Struthio camelus: one gene and its partner. The protein of the gene in region 1 interacts with the protein of each later gene in a pairwise test. Links are inferred from orthologs where the notes say so. Each region holds a gene or a part of one and is shown on either strand. Other genes may lie near its edges.

Region 1 (7,197 bases):
ACTCCCAGACTCTCTTATGCTTCCTCTTTCTCAGCTCTTCTCTTTCCTCCTTGCACCCAGAACTTGAGTATGGAACCACGAAGTGAAAATCTAGAGGAGGGATTGTGCGTCCCCCTGAAATGTGTTGACGTATATAAGGTGCTCTGTCTCTTGCTATTGAACATTTCCAGAAAGCATGTTCCCAACCAAATACCAAGGTACATGGCTTGGGGAGGAGGAAAGCCACACACACGACTGAAGCAAGAGAATGACACTGTATTATCTTTGTTTGAGCTCTCCCTTTTTCCCCTGATGGTAGAGATGCTTCTTTAAGGAGAAGCATTCAACTGGTCTGGCAGAGGCTGGGTCTATAGGGAGTGGAGTCACAGTGGAGGCTTGGACCCCTCCACGTTCTCTCTGCTCTGAGTAGTAACTCAGACTCACAGGGTTTTGGAGGGGTGACAATGTCTCTGTGCTTCCCAGAGGAGAAGAGCATGGCAGTGCTGCCATGGGACTGCAGGACAGTGTTTACGCCTTGAGGGTGTTCTGGTGGGCTTCCCTGTAGGAAACCTTATCCCGACATTGACAAGGAGTGACCTTCACTGGCTCATAGGAGTGGAATCCAAGTTCTAGGAGGCTTTTCAATCCCTCACTGCTAAGATGTCCACAGAGTTTCTGCTCTGTCTTGCTGAGACTAAGGCAGGATCGAGCCTCATTAGTGTGCTTATTACAGATAAGGAAGAGGTAGCCTATAAAATATGAATAAAATGTTATACTGAAATCCTGTGATGCTACTGGCAGGCCACTGAGAAGAGGCCAGGATAGTCTGTTGACTTACGTGAGCCTTGTATCTGGCCCTTGGAGACTTAAGTATGAGTACGAATAAAGGGAAGATAATGAAAAGAGACTCAGTTCAGAAAAGTTACAAGTTCAAACACCTGGGGAGAAATAACACCGAAGAATATGAATTTGAGGTGAGGACATAAAGGCTTTTCTCTCCAGGTGCGCTGGTTTTTAGCCAGCCTCCTGCTTCAACTATAGTCCTTAGTATCTGGCAATTGAGCTCTCTAGGGATCTGGCTGTGAATTCCTATCTGTGACAGAGAAGCACACCTGCCCCTAGATGCCACTTGGCTAATGCCCACATTTTGGGATACCTGAAACCACTGTGGGCAATCTGAGAGGGAGGGAAGAAGATAGCCTCAAGGAGAGGAGCTAAGATCCAGACCAAACACATGTAGCGTCTGTGTTCTCTTTCCATGCTGATGATGCCAGCTGCTCTGTCTACCTTGCCCTATTACTGCGCTCCTCCTACTTTCCTCAAAGCCAAATGCCGTGGCAGAAATTCTCTCCTGCCCTTAACACACACTCTGAGGTGCCATAAAGGAATCTTCTTGAAATGCAAGAGGAGAAAACCCCCACAGGACATAAGCCTGGCAGTTGCCTGGCTCATGCCCCCTCAGGTTATCTAGACAGCCATGGCAGAGCTTTATTAACCGGTTCTCACCTTCCTCAAAGACTTAAAAATGGTTCTTGGAAAACAGTGAGGAGCATTTACAAGGACCCTGATAACAAGACAGATATCTGCTTTGAAAAGGTGGGCCTCCGGGGCTGTAAGGACAGTCGGGTTTTCCTGAGTGATAGAAACAAGCTCTTTTGTCCCTCCTTTTCCACTGCATACAGCAGAAGCTCAGATACTCCAGATTCTGCCATTCTTTTCATTCACTCAAAACTGTTGTAGAGCTACTGTTGATCCAGGACCTTCGGCCACGCTCTGGCTAATACCGATATTAAGACGGTGAGAGACAGAACTCAGATGGAGTACCATTGTGCTAGGTACTATACAAACACACTGTAGTAGATGGTCCTGTCCTAGAGAGCTCATAGTCACAGAATTAAAGAGTAATGTGATTTGGAAGGGACTAGATCAGGTTGTTCAGAGCCTGATCAGTCAAGTTTTGAATATCTCCAAGGATGGAAATCCCACAGCCTCTGCAGGTTCCTATTCCAGTGTTTGACCACCCTCATGGCAGAAGTATTTTCCCAGATAAATGTTAGACACTGGCAAAAGGCAAAACTATTAAGAAATTAATTGCCTCAGACTGGGGACTCCCAAGTAATGAGCCCTCATTGCAGGAGGCTGAATATCGACTGCAAACCCAGGAGTCACATGGAGCCCCTTCTGCAGGTAGGAGCTGGAATGACCAACACGGGATGAGAAATACTAGAAGTGACAGATCTGGGGATACTCAGAGGACATATTATAAAGTGAGGGGATTAGAGTGCTACCATTTTCAGTGGATTCAGTTCATTCTAGCAAGAGGGTTCCCTTACAAAATTTAGGGTTACATTTGAGCACTTCTTTCCTTCAAATGATGGGGGAGCTGTTCAGAACCTGAGGCTTTGCTCATGCAATTAGATGCAATTATTAAAGACTCTTTGGGGCAAGATTATTACTGCTGTTGCTACTACTGTTACTGTAATAATTTATTTCCTTGCATTGTGGCTGGAGGTCCTAGTGAGGACCATACCGAGCCAGGTCCTATACAAATACAGAACTGAAAATCATCCCTGCCCTGAGGACTAAGAGGGAAGGGCCCAGTCCTACACAACACTTAAGCTCATATATAAATGTCCTTGAGAGAGTTTTTCCCTTAGAGGTCACCATTAATCACACATGTAAATGTTGATGCCTAAGGATTTTCAGCACAAGGCTTGACTGCGCAAATAGTCGAATGAGACCTTTGCTACAGACCAGTGGTCACCAGTGTGAGATAGGTAGATGAGAATCAGGATGGGGAGCCAGAGAGGTAGAAAGGTCATTTACCATTTCTAAATGTCTTTCCTCTTTGCAAAAGTGCAATATCTTGAATCGCTTCAGTTCTTTTTTTATATAAATTGATCAGAAGAGTTCCGTATTTCACTTGCAATCTTATGGGCTGATTGGACCCTCTCCAATCAGGAGGAGCTCAGGAATATTGTAAGGGAGCTTTAATACCGATCAACATTTCTTACTATAACTCTGAAGCTGTGACTATGTCAGGAGTAGTGTTTTGTTTTGTTTTGTTTTATTTTCATGTATAAAATTTGAAGCTTCCCAGATCAGCTGGGAAGGTCCCACAGAAACACTTATTTGTAAGGGGGAAGGGGGAAAACAACCAACCAACTGAACAAGCTGTAATTATTTAAAGATGTAAAAAAATATATATTACAAAGTAGTATGGCTACCAATCCACATAACTTCTACACCTTTAGAACTAATGGAAATAAAATAATAATAAAACTAGATGGCTTCTGCCTGACTCTGACTGAGCTGGTGGGCTTCTTGGGGTAGGTTAATGGTAAATGAACACATATTCAGTGCACAGAGTTGAAAGGAGGAGCCGGTGTGTTTTCATGCAGCAGGTAATTCCACTAATACAGCAGCAAGAGGAAAAGCTCCTCGCAGTGCCTTAATACCATTGTGTCTTATCTTTTTGCAATTCTCACTAACATAGTTTTGCTTGATGCACTGTTGATGTAGCCTAATTGCTTCCAGCTGAACTCCAAGACGCCACCCCCGAGCCAAAACCGCATTGCCAGCAAGGGCTGCCTTGAGCCACTTCTGCTTTCTGCAGGAGCGCAACGCTCGTACAAGCACCCAAGCTCCCCCCTAAGGTGCTCGGCCTCTTTCCCAGTTCGACCACTCCTTGAGCCCTTGGTGCAACTGGGCTCGAAACCCTGCCCGTTGCTCCCCTGCTATGGGTGGGGGGATGTCTCCTTCCCCTGTAAGAGCAGGTGGGGCGGCTGAGGGTTTTGGGTGCAGAACACGGCATGGCAGAGTTGGGTGTAGGAGGGGGGCTGGAGGATGAGGAGCCGGTGATGCGAGGCAGTTGGGGGTGCTGGAAGAGGGGTTAGGTACAAAGATGGGAAGGGCTCCGAAGCATGCAGGAGAAGCTGGGGCAATAAATTGCAGGGGAGGAGCAGGGCTGCCCCCTCCTCTATGTGCGTGCATATAGGAAGGGGGGTGGGCTGGGGCTGGCTGCAGGGGTTTGGGGGATGCCTGCTTTGGAAGCTCCGCAGCGGGCGTATAAGCCCCCCCCTGCTCCGTGCTCCCCGGTGCCAGCCCGCTGCCCTGCGGCCGGGGGCAGCGCGGGGCTCGATTGCTTTGGAGAGCTGCAACTCGGCGCTCGACTGAGGGGTCCTGGGAAGTGGATACAATTTGGGAGGGGGCGGGGGGGGGAAACTGGCAGGGTCCCACCGCCCCCTCCATTCCCCCCGCCCGGTGCGTGTCGGCAGCGGGTGCTGCAGGGGCTCGAGGACCCCTCGGTAGGTAACAGCAGGGACTCGGAGCAGACTGGGAAGAACATGCCTTTCGTAGGGTGTTTCTTCCCCTGAGGGGGTAGGGAGAGGAGCTGGGGTGGGTGGGGAGTAGAGCTGCCCAACTGCTAATTGCAATTAGCCCTTGCCTAATTGCACGTGGAGGGGGTCCGGGCTGCGTGTTTACATCGCCGCGGGAGCGTCGCGCCGGGTTGTGAAGCTCTCCTGGGGCGCAGGTGGTCCGGCTTTGCCCTCTCTCTGCTGATCCCCATCGCTCTGGGGTGTGGGACCGGCGCTGCTCCAAGCAGGTGAGCTGGCGGCTCAGGGCATGGGTTAAAGCTGGGCTGAGGTGGAGGAACCCAGCAGCCTGGTAGTTTATTATCCCCTGTAGAAGCTGGCTCGATGAGAGAGCGATACCGGTTTTGTGGGATGCTTGTGCGGAGGGTTTGTGCGGAGTGTGAGCATGTCCCAGTGGAGTGCAGATGCTTGGCTTTGACTGCAGGGACTGAAGGAGCCCAACCAAAATGAATGTATATGTGGGAAGGGTTTCTTCTGGAAGCCTGGTGGCTGTGGTGGTGCCAGCTTGGGGTTGGAGACCAACTGTAGTCTATGCCTTGGAATAGAAACAGGCAATAGTAATAGGAGATAACAGCTCTGAGGGTTTCCCCCATCTCCTGGTGGGGCCACCAGGGTTTTTTTTTTTTTTTTTAGTTTTTGTGGGTCTTTTGTTTGTTTTGATTCTCCCATCTAGAGGGCTTGATTGCTAAGAAGACTATAGAAATGCTGTGGGGCAGCCTCCTGTTGCTGCTGCACGTGGCTGGTCCCAGCGGGCTGGATTTGTAGCCCAAGAGGCTAGCAAAGACAGGCTTGAGGGTACAGTGGTGGTCCCTTTAGGGAGAAGGAGTGATTTGCCCTGCAGAGCGCTGGGAGCTGTGATCCTCCTTGGAGGAGGGAGACAGCTCTTTTAGAAGAGACTGAAGTGGCCGTGAGTGAAAAGATGAACTCGGGAGATACTTCCAGCTAGTCCATGGAGAGATGAGGGGGGACCAGGGAAAATAGATACTGTTCTTTCTGAAGCCATGGGGTAAAGGGTAGGGCCTCTCACTAGAGAGCTAAGAGCATTACGCTTCTGGCCAAACTGGCTGCAGTTGGGTGAACGTGTGCATGTGTGCATTAAGACCTTAGGAAGTGCTAAGCACTTGCATCCTCTGAGGACCAGCCCTCTGTGAACTGAATGAGAGGCAATCAGAGCTGTGCAGCTCTGCAGGTAATGTGGGAGTCTGAACTCTGAGCTGCATGAGCTGTCCTGGGGCTCACTTTGTGCCCCCTAATATTACGTGGGTGCCAGAATAGTCCAGGAGGAAGGCCCAGAAGGCCTGGGATGTAGGTAGACCTCTTGGTTGATCCCAGGGATCCAGGTTGCTGATGGCACTTTTGACAGCAGAAATACCTCTTTGGATGACTCTTGATCTGTTACTGGCTGAACTAAAGTCTGAACCCAACATGTCTCTAATCTGAAGCTCAGAATAGAGAAATGTGTCTCTGTGGTCTGGGAAGGCTTGAGACATCTTCCTAGAATAATGTATGGTAGCAAAACGAAGGCTTTGGAGCCTTTGAAAATGCAGCGTATGTGGGTGAAACTGGAATAGGCCTATATATAACTATCCCATGACCTGGGCAGTACAGGAATAAAGCTTGGTCTTTTACTTCCATTGAGCCTTTTCCAGCTTATATGAAACAAGTAATATTAGTTGCTCCTATCTTGGATCCTGGTAATGTTTGTTCCCTGGTGTGCTTTCCTGCTGGAGCTCTTGGCAGGTCTGTGACTGCTGTGTGTGGCAGCACAGGAAGGTTTTTACAGCTGTGCTGTCTTGTCTGCCCCTGTTGCAGGTATGTCCACACCTCACTGGTGTTCGTAGTGCTGTGTTCTAATTGGAATGGAGGTTGCTGGTTGCTTAAATGTCTCTGCTGAGAGCTTCAGTGAACAAAGATGTCCCTTTGTTGTGGCAAAGGGCGGCTTGGAGAGGTGAGGCAGCAGCAGGTAGTGCTGAAGGCTCAGGTTTTACGGTTACTCTGTGCTGATGGGCCGTTCCTGGCCTGCTGCCTCTTTTCCCTGTTCTTTCTTTGGCGTGAGTGTTTCTGTAGCAGTTCAGGGATCAGCGTCTGGGAGCTGCTGTATCTGAGTTAGCCCAGCCAGCAGAAAAGATGAGATGCTAGCATGAGGTAGGAATGTGTCTTCTGGTAGAAGCCTCTGCATAGGGTAGCTTGACATGAAGGTGAACAGCAGTCTCAGAGCCGTGCCAGGTAGCTTGGAGCCTTGTACTGAGCACTGTGGAGTCTGCAGCAGAGCTGGTGGTCAGTGCTGGGTTTCTGGGATCAATCTTCTTGTGGAATTGCCACTGCAGGGTGAAAGCCAAAGCATATTCTTCACACCCTGGAGCGTGCTGTCTTGTGTACCTGGTCCTGGCAGATCTCTTCAAAAGAACTGCAAGTAACATGTCTGGGATCTTGGGCCAGAAATAACACCTTTGTACTGGTATAACTCCTGTAAGTGAGCTACAGGGTGTTGTGGAATGGCACTACTTTGTCTGCCATTCTTGCCAGAGACTGCTGACCCTAGATGTCGCTGGCAGAGCGTACAAATGCTCTGTAATCTGCCTCATGCTGTTAGAGTCAGTGGCACTGTAGCAAGCAGCTGAAGAAGCAAGGAGGATGAGCTAACTCCAGGGCTAATCATGGAGCAGCGCTTTCCTTGGTGGTGCGGCTATATCAGGAAGATGATGGTTGACTGCGGCCTGAGTTGGTTCAGGTTTAGTAACATCTCTATAAGGTTGTGTTCCCACATTATTCTGGGACATTAAGGCTGTGAACGATGATTTGGAGTCATATGAGCTCTTGTTTCTGGTGAGGAGAGTTTCTG
Region 2 (7,607 bases), on another chromosome or scaffold:
AGCAGAAATGTGACGTTTGGGAGCACTTGCAAGGGAGTTTCTAGGCATGGGGAAGCACAGCACCTTGCAGATAACCCTTTGGAAACTGAGCTACATGACCCTGCTGTGCTCCAGTTTCCTTCAGAGAATATTCTCCCTTCTCCACCCAGGGGAGCATGCAATAGTCCCTGCTTGGCGCAAGTGGATCTTCATTTCCAGCACTGCAACGCAGAGAGAGATCAGAGCACCACAGTCATGATGGAGCGGCTATGGTGGCTGACTCTGAAGAAAGATTAAAAGCCTAAAGTACATCATCTGGCTTGTGCCTAAGACGACTTATCATAAATGCGACAAAATTTTAAGATCTGCTTGAATAATTGCTCTCCATCTGTGTGTGTAGTGCCTGTGGGCAGTAACTCAGAGTAACAAGATGGAGTCAAAAGTAGTAAGAACTGAGTCTAGATGCTAGGGAAGAATGAAGAATTGTCTTCCCCAAAAGGAAACTGGGACACTTATTCAGGTCTGCACAACATACCAGAAAACGTCTAGCAGAGAGCATGGGGAGACCAAGTTACCAAATAAACTTCCTCCATCTTCAATTTCTGCAACTCAAGCTGCAGCTTCCTGAAGTTAGTAAGAAAACAATTGGCTGTTTTTTGGGGTTTTTTTTCTCTCCAACTTTCTTCCATGAGTGCTAAAATGAGCAACAACATTAACAACAAGAACTCTTCCATGTACATGGAATTCCCCAAGCTCAGTCAGCACCCACATGGAGGAAAACTTTCCCACTTCCTTCAACTGCAAACATGGCAGGGGAGTTGTTTAGGGTTATTTTTTAATGTTTGGATGTGGGTTTTTTTGTTTTTTTTGTTTTTTTTTAAAATGAAGAGAGCTATTAACTCACAATTTAGTCGCTAATAAAATTTCAGAATAACCTTCCCTGTCTAGAGTTTTCTCCATGCTAAGCTTATAAATTGTTCTTAAGACTTCTGATGAGATAAATCTCTCGTCTGCCTTTCTCTGTTGCTAAGCTAAAACTTTGTCTTGCAATCAAAACCGCTTTTTAGAAATCGCTTTAAGAAATCGCTTTGAATTTCAAGTGCAAAAGCTCCAGACCCCATTGCACTAGGTCAGGTGCTGCAAACGCACTGTGGGACCAGGCTTCCTGCTCCAGAGAGCTCCCGTAGGCCAAGATACAACACAAGAGTGGAGGTAATTTGGAAGAGGGCTACATTTGTGTGGCATGAGATGGTTCGGGTCTTATTAAGAAACAGAAAATTGCTTCACTAGAAAAAGGAGATGAAGACCTGGCACAGCTTCCTTCTCGTTTTACCTCACAAAGCTGTGCAAATAGCTGGGCAAGCTCTGAGGGCGCACCGGATCGGAGAGGCTTCTCAGCCTGTGGGATGGCAGAGGAATGCTTTCTTGGGGATGTCATGGTCCAAATTCACAGAAAGTTTGGAGACAAATCCCCACTTTCCAGGCTCCAAAAATCAGCATTTATTATAAAAAGCCGTCTCCATCCTTTCTGCCCAAGCGCAATGCTCGACTGAAGAGATGTTGACTTTAGGAAGGTTAAAGGTGGCTGCCTCATCTAACAAATGGGTTTTAGCAAGAGGGGAAGATTGTTGTTTTTTCTCCTTTCAGGAATGAAGTGTCAGGAAGATGTAGAGGGCAAACAGGCCCCTGCTGAGCAGCTGAATGACAGCCCCAGCTGCAGAGGGTGCTGGAGCAATGCAGAATCCACAGTTCTCACATCTGGGAAGTAACACGCCAGCTCCCTTTCCCACGTCTGAAGTTAGCGGAACAACAGTGACAGCTCCATTGGGAAAACGGGGTCCAAGTTGTTCAACTCGGAGTGCCAAGTGATGTGCAGAAGTTGCGTCATGCCCTATGCAGAGACCCCCTTGCTCAGGCCTCCTGTGGGTTCCTGAATGCAAACCTAAACCTGCTCCTGGCTGGACTGAACCCTACTAGGTCAACAGGTAGTCCTCCATACCCTTCTACTCCCCCAAATATTCATGCATGTGTATAACTGGTATTAATGGCAGCATAATTAGCTAGATCCTTGTATAGACTGAAAGTAGAGCTGAGAACCAGCAGATCTAGGCTTGACTCCACACAACCCCCATAACCTGTGAGACTTGAGTGGGCATTATACATGCGATGACACACGCAGAGAAGGAAGGGGAAACACTCTGCAGCTGCAAAAAGCTTCTGGGTTCTGACTTGGTTCTGCAAGCGCTCAGAACTGTTGCCAGCTTTCACAAATTCATCATAACCTAGCCTTTCAGACAAAGGGCAATCTGAAACCGAATCTGAAAGGGCAACTCTACTGTCAGGGAGTTGGAAACACGTTGTCATTTTTATTCTCCACTACAACGCAGCAGTAGCTTCCATTAGCATGGAAACCTCTTCCTAGAGAATGCATCAGATATCAGATGTTTAGTATTTTGCAAGAGAGCTATGAATCACATGAAAATAAGACAGAATTTTGATGTTCCCGTTCAGAAAGGTCAGCACTAAATCCATTTGATTTCCTGGAGAAGACCAAGCTCTAAGACTCAACAGATATCAAGGTAAGTACACTTCCCCCTGCCGGGATTACTTGAGAGGATATAATTCAGAAGTATACAGAGCCAAGCAAAAGACCCAAAGCACCACGTAAGCCCCTGGGGAGAAATGAGGCTCCAAGTCAGTGTAGGAAACCTCTTTGTGTCTATGAGGAAACATGAAACCCTGCACAAGCAGCAGGAAGGGAAGGGAAGGAAGCTCCCTCCGCTCTGCTCTCAGGCTTGGTTCGTTCCTAGTCTACATCACCCACAATCCAAGGTGCAGCCTCGCTATTTCCCCAGAAACTGTAAATATGTATCTCACCAACTCTTTATTGCTTTTTAAACTCATGTAGAAGATGATGGAATTCCCATAAAAATTCCAGAGTCATTTCATCAAGACTTTGATGCTTACTAGCAAGGACAACAGAGGAAGCGGCCTTGTTTCCTTGTTCCAAAGACATTTTCTGAATCGAGCTGATATCGTTCTGTTTTGTGAAAATATTTTATGGGGTACAACCTCCAGCTCTGCACATCGGGGGGGGGGGGGGAAGGAGGGAGCAAGAAATCTGCCTTCCATGTGCTGAAAGCACCATCTAGCTAAGAAAAGAAACTTTAACACACTTTCAAAAGGAAGAAGCAGCTTTCCAGTACTAGAGTTGATTAGCCCTGCCATTCCTCTGCAATCACACTGCAAAAGCTGGTTTTCCAAACTGAACTTTCACTTGCTATGTTGTTTTCTCAACAAAATACAGTGTGGGCTCCCTGGACAGAAGGAAATAAACATTACCTCTTAGGAAATGATGCTTCTGCAGAAAGAAAAAACACCTGGCAGGCAAGTTGCAGCATTCACCTGGTTGTCTGTTCCAGATTGCCTAGAGGCATCAGAAACAGCCCCCAGCTGAGTCTCCCAACCCTCTGCTGCAGACCCTGCTAGTTCTCCCACCACATCCTCAAGTCCTGAAAGCTGTGGGACAAAAGCAATCACCCAAACAGGACAGCAAGACAAGATTATGGCTATCTTTGACAAGCAGCCCAATCAGAACAGCAGAATTCTGTTAATTCTCTCACAAGTGTTATTTAAAAACATCATTCTTTTCACAGTTTCAGTTAAGTGACTTCACAATATAGCAAGGTGTAGAGGAATAAGCACTGAAAAGGGCTGCAAGCAGACTATAGAAACAGGGAAGACGTGCATTTGTGCATCGATAAATTGTCGATGAAAGCAGGGACAACCACCTTGAAAGAAACAGTTGTCCTGCTAGCACAGCCCTTGAGCAGGGCATTCGGGCGTCCCCAGCTGCCACCCTCCGCAGAAACGGAATCACAGGCAGATTCCCTATTAATATCAGTATCTTTCCAACTGTGATGGCTCCAAGGTTTAAGAACCCGCTTTCTGTTAAGAAAAGCTATACAACTCTCAACAAGAGATGAAAACCATGTCTCCTACTGGCATGAAAGCAGGCAATCTCTTCACAGGAAGGAGTGGTGGCATATTGAGAATTCCCCGGAAAGTAGGATACAGAAAGGATAGATGCCATTGGCAGCAAACTCCAACTATCAGCAAATTCAGCTTCACTGCAAAAACTAACAAAAACAGACACCCAAAACCTCATGCATGTGTGTCAACCAGTTCTCGTATTTTTTTTTTTTAAAAACTTACAATTGGGCCTTAGAATCAAATATAATCTGTTAACTCCTCTCTTGCTTTTATTTCCCACTTTAGTCCTTGGAATTTGTTATCTGCTGAATTCTATATCTGGTTTAGGGCTTTTTCCAAATCCAAGACTTGGGGAATTTTGTTAACAGTGCAATAAAAACAGCTTCACAGTGTTACACGGAAACATTAAAGCCTTTTTTGTGTGTGCTGCCCTTTCCCTTTTCAAAAAAACACAGACAATGTTTCTTTAAAAGTCTCCATCTGCAAATCCCATTAGATGTGCATATAAGGTTTCGGATGATTAATAGTTGCCTGCTTTGCTTTGGTTGGAGGGACTCAGTGCATGTAGGTTAACTCCTCCCTCCCCTTGCTCACATTTCACTTCACAAACTTGTTACTCTCTCCTCAGCACAGTATTTAAAGTTTCACCCATGTTCAGCACCTCACTAGGAACAAAACTTCAGGCCTTGGGAAACGCTCCAGGGCAATCCCTGCACAGATCTGGTTACTGTTCTCCAGTCAGGACAATGAAGATGTTTAGAGGAATTCCCAAAGTAACAAATTTGCAACAGCATAAAACTCACAAGCAAACTGCTTTTTAGAGAGAAATTCTATTTCTAATTCCTGTAAAAGTCAGACATTTTCCCCCTCTGCTCCCACTCTGGTTTTGAAGCCTGAGCCACAACCACCGAAGCACAGGCAGCGGCAGCGCAAGCAAATGGATCCCACCATCAGCAGCTGCATGCGAAGCCCGCGACCTCCTGCCCTGCTCTGGGGCTCCCTCCGGAGCGCCCGGGCAGACAGCACCGCAGTGGCAGGGCTGAGCCACTACCCACCAGCACCGTTCCCCTTCCACCAAAAGCCGGACTTTGCTCCTTACTCTGATTTTGCAGCCTCCTGCCTGGCGACAGCTCCCCACAGCTTCCCGCAGGAGGAGCAGGCGCTGGCGCAGCAGCCTCTCGCTTTCCAGCGCCCTGACTGGCACCTGGCAGCCACCGAGGCCAGAGGACGCCTGCAGCCGGGACCAGCTTTAGGTTCTGGGGAACCAGAAGGCAGCAGCCCAAATCTGGTGGGGGCTGCGCTGGGCATGAATGCGGACTATGAGCTACCAGGAAACACTTCAACTGAGACTGAGAAAAAGCCGTCCAAAAGGAAAAAGGAAAACTCAGGTAGGTAATAAAAAAAAAAAAATCAGGGATGTGGGATAGTCCAGGCTGTAGAATGGGAGCACCTATAAGGTTAGGAATTAAGAAATAAAGCCTATGAAGAAAACATTTTATAATTCTTGACTAGGGAAACTTATACAATACCAAAACTAAATTGTTTCTTCTTTGATGATCTCCCATGTTTGTACTTCGCTTCTGCAAATCTCTAACTGAACCAGTCATTTCCCTCGCCAGCACAACGCAAATTCGCTGCAACCAAAATCGCAAGGCGTGTACACACGGCGCTCAGGGTGCTAGGGCATGCAGGCAGATATTGCTTACCTGCCTTTCGTCTAAGCGCAAGGGAACGGAGTCAAGGAGGAAAGACCCCTCGTCTTGAGCTGCCTGTGCTTGTTGGGAGTGTGACAGTAGGGTTCTGATGTCTCAGTTTATGGTCAGAAGTCCAAGATGCAAAGTCTCCCTTTCCAGATAAATTCTACTTGGCCTCATTAGATGTTAAATGCTTTTATTTCAAAACAGGAGAGACTGAAAGCCTGCCCATAAGCACAATGCCCAACAATAAGGAAAACTATGTAAATTTTCATTGTGTCATCCTAACTGGCAAAACTCGCTCTTTCTGCAGCGTTCAGATATATAACAACCTCTTATCTAGATACGTGAAACACATTAGTTTCCTCTGAAGGAAGCTGCTGAAAGTTAAGATGTCTATACATATTGATTTGCTATTGTGCTCATTTACAAGCTACAGCATGCTTTTCCCCACAGCACCATTACGAGGCTGAGAACATTTTCCAGTATCCCCATTTTACAGGTGCAGAACCAAGACAAAGAGATAAAATTTTTCTGAAGTTTTGCAGGTTGGCTACAGAAGAGGCACTAATCCTAATCTCACTTCTCCATCCTGCAGTGTGAACATGCTTGGGTTCACAGGCTCTCTGCCGCACTTTTCTTTCCTATCTCGTCTCTCTTCTAATGTGGCACAGGTCATTTGGGACACATGTGAAATAGCTGGTATCTGAGCCTCTTTGTGCCCCAAAGGCTAGTTTACTACCCTCGGTGCTGTGTTTTTCTTTAGAAACCCAGCTTTGTAGTATTTAAGGCCTTCTCTATTCAAAAAGTATTTTTTGGGCAACCATTTCTCAAAAAACTCAAACGCAAACAAGTTTTTCTTTTTCTTTTTTCTAGGGAACAATGCTTTTATCAAAACATCTATTAGTCAAAGGTTAAGCAGCAGATTTCAGTGCACTCAGGGTAGGGAATATCCTTATTCTTAAAGGGACTGAGGGGATTGCACACACCCCTGTTTTTAAGTAGAAGACAAATGCTCCTTCTGCTCTTTGTTACCAGCAGCTTTGACATTTTCTCTTCACACTTACTGCTGTCCCACATGCTTATCCTTCTGGGGAGCCATAAGCAACATCACCGCAACGTAGCCTTTCCTACCTGCCAGCAGCGGTTGCTGGCCACACAACCTGCAACTCTAGGAAAAGGCAGAAATGACGAAAACATCCCAAAGGTGATTATGCTGCATCTCGTTTCACCCCCTTCTTTGCTCCTCACATAGCAGAATTATTTGCAATCCCTCCTGCAACCTTCCCTGCTCTCCCCAGACAAAATAAAGTGAGTGGGGGAATGCCTATCAACATTTTACTGCTCCTTCCTGAGCTTTTGCTGCAGTTCTGGCAGCGTGTCTGGGCACACTCCAATTGCGTTAGAAGGGGGACACGTGTCCTCTCTCTCCTTTGGGGAATTTTCCTGGACTTCAGAAAAATCTAGGTGCCCAGAGCCCTCTCTTCAGAGATTAGTAGGCTAATAAAAGAATGAAATCACCTGAAGACTAACACTACAAAATAAAATCATTTTTCTTGCTTGGTGCTTTACCAGCTTCCATCTTATTGAACTTTAGTATAACCACAGCATTGCAATGATTTGTTTTGGTGTGAAACCCTTCAGTTCTCACCAAGAGCTAATTATTACAAGATATGCAGAGAAGATCTTAGAATATGGCTCTTTGCAGAGTATTCTGAGAAAAGTCTAAAATAAGTATATTTCTCAGACAAATAAAACAGAACAATGTAAAAATAATTTAAAAAGTTTGTCCATCTTAAAAATGTTCTTTGAAGCTTTGATCTATTCAAAATATTCATAAAACTTCTTTGTTTTGGTAGTAACAGTAGCATTTCCTAGCAGTATCGATGTACAGATGTGCAGGCAACCCTCCCTTCCTCTACAGGCGATACTGTAGAGGAA

What was found.
Region 2: the proteins of NEIL2 (region 1) and MEOX1 interact in binary tests that used the Homo sapiens proteins (3 or more experiments, as listed by UniProt). The two-hybrid records come from large-scale screens. The link is inferred for Struthio camelus from reciprocal best matches to the Homo sapiens genes NEIL2 and MEOX1.

The regions. Positions count from the first base shown.
Region 1 is NC_090944.1:11,160,046-11,167,242, forward strand, and holds the start of NEIL2 (endonuclease 8-like 2), read left to right. Parts: upstream 1-4,014; 5' UTR 4,015-4,016; coding exon 4,017-4,286; intron 4,287-7,197. UniProt on the Homo sapiens protein: Involved in base excision repair of DNA damaged by oxidation or by mutagenic agents. Has DNA glycosylase activity towards 5-hydroxyuracil and other oxidized derivatives of cytosine with a preference for mismatched double-stranded DNA (DNA bubbles).
Region 2 is NC_090966.1:8,141,153-8,148,759, reverse strand, and holds the start of MEOX1 (homeobox protein MOX-1), read left to right. Parts: upstream 1-4,529; 5' UTR 4,530-4,909; coding exon 4,910-5,360; intron 5,361-7,607. UniProt on the Homo sapiens protein: Mesodermal transcription factor that plays a key role in somitogenesis and is specifically required for sclerotome development. Required for maintenance of the sclerotome polarity and formation of the cranio-cervical joints.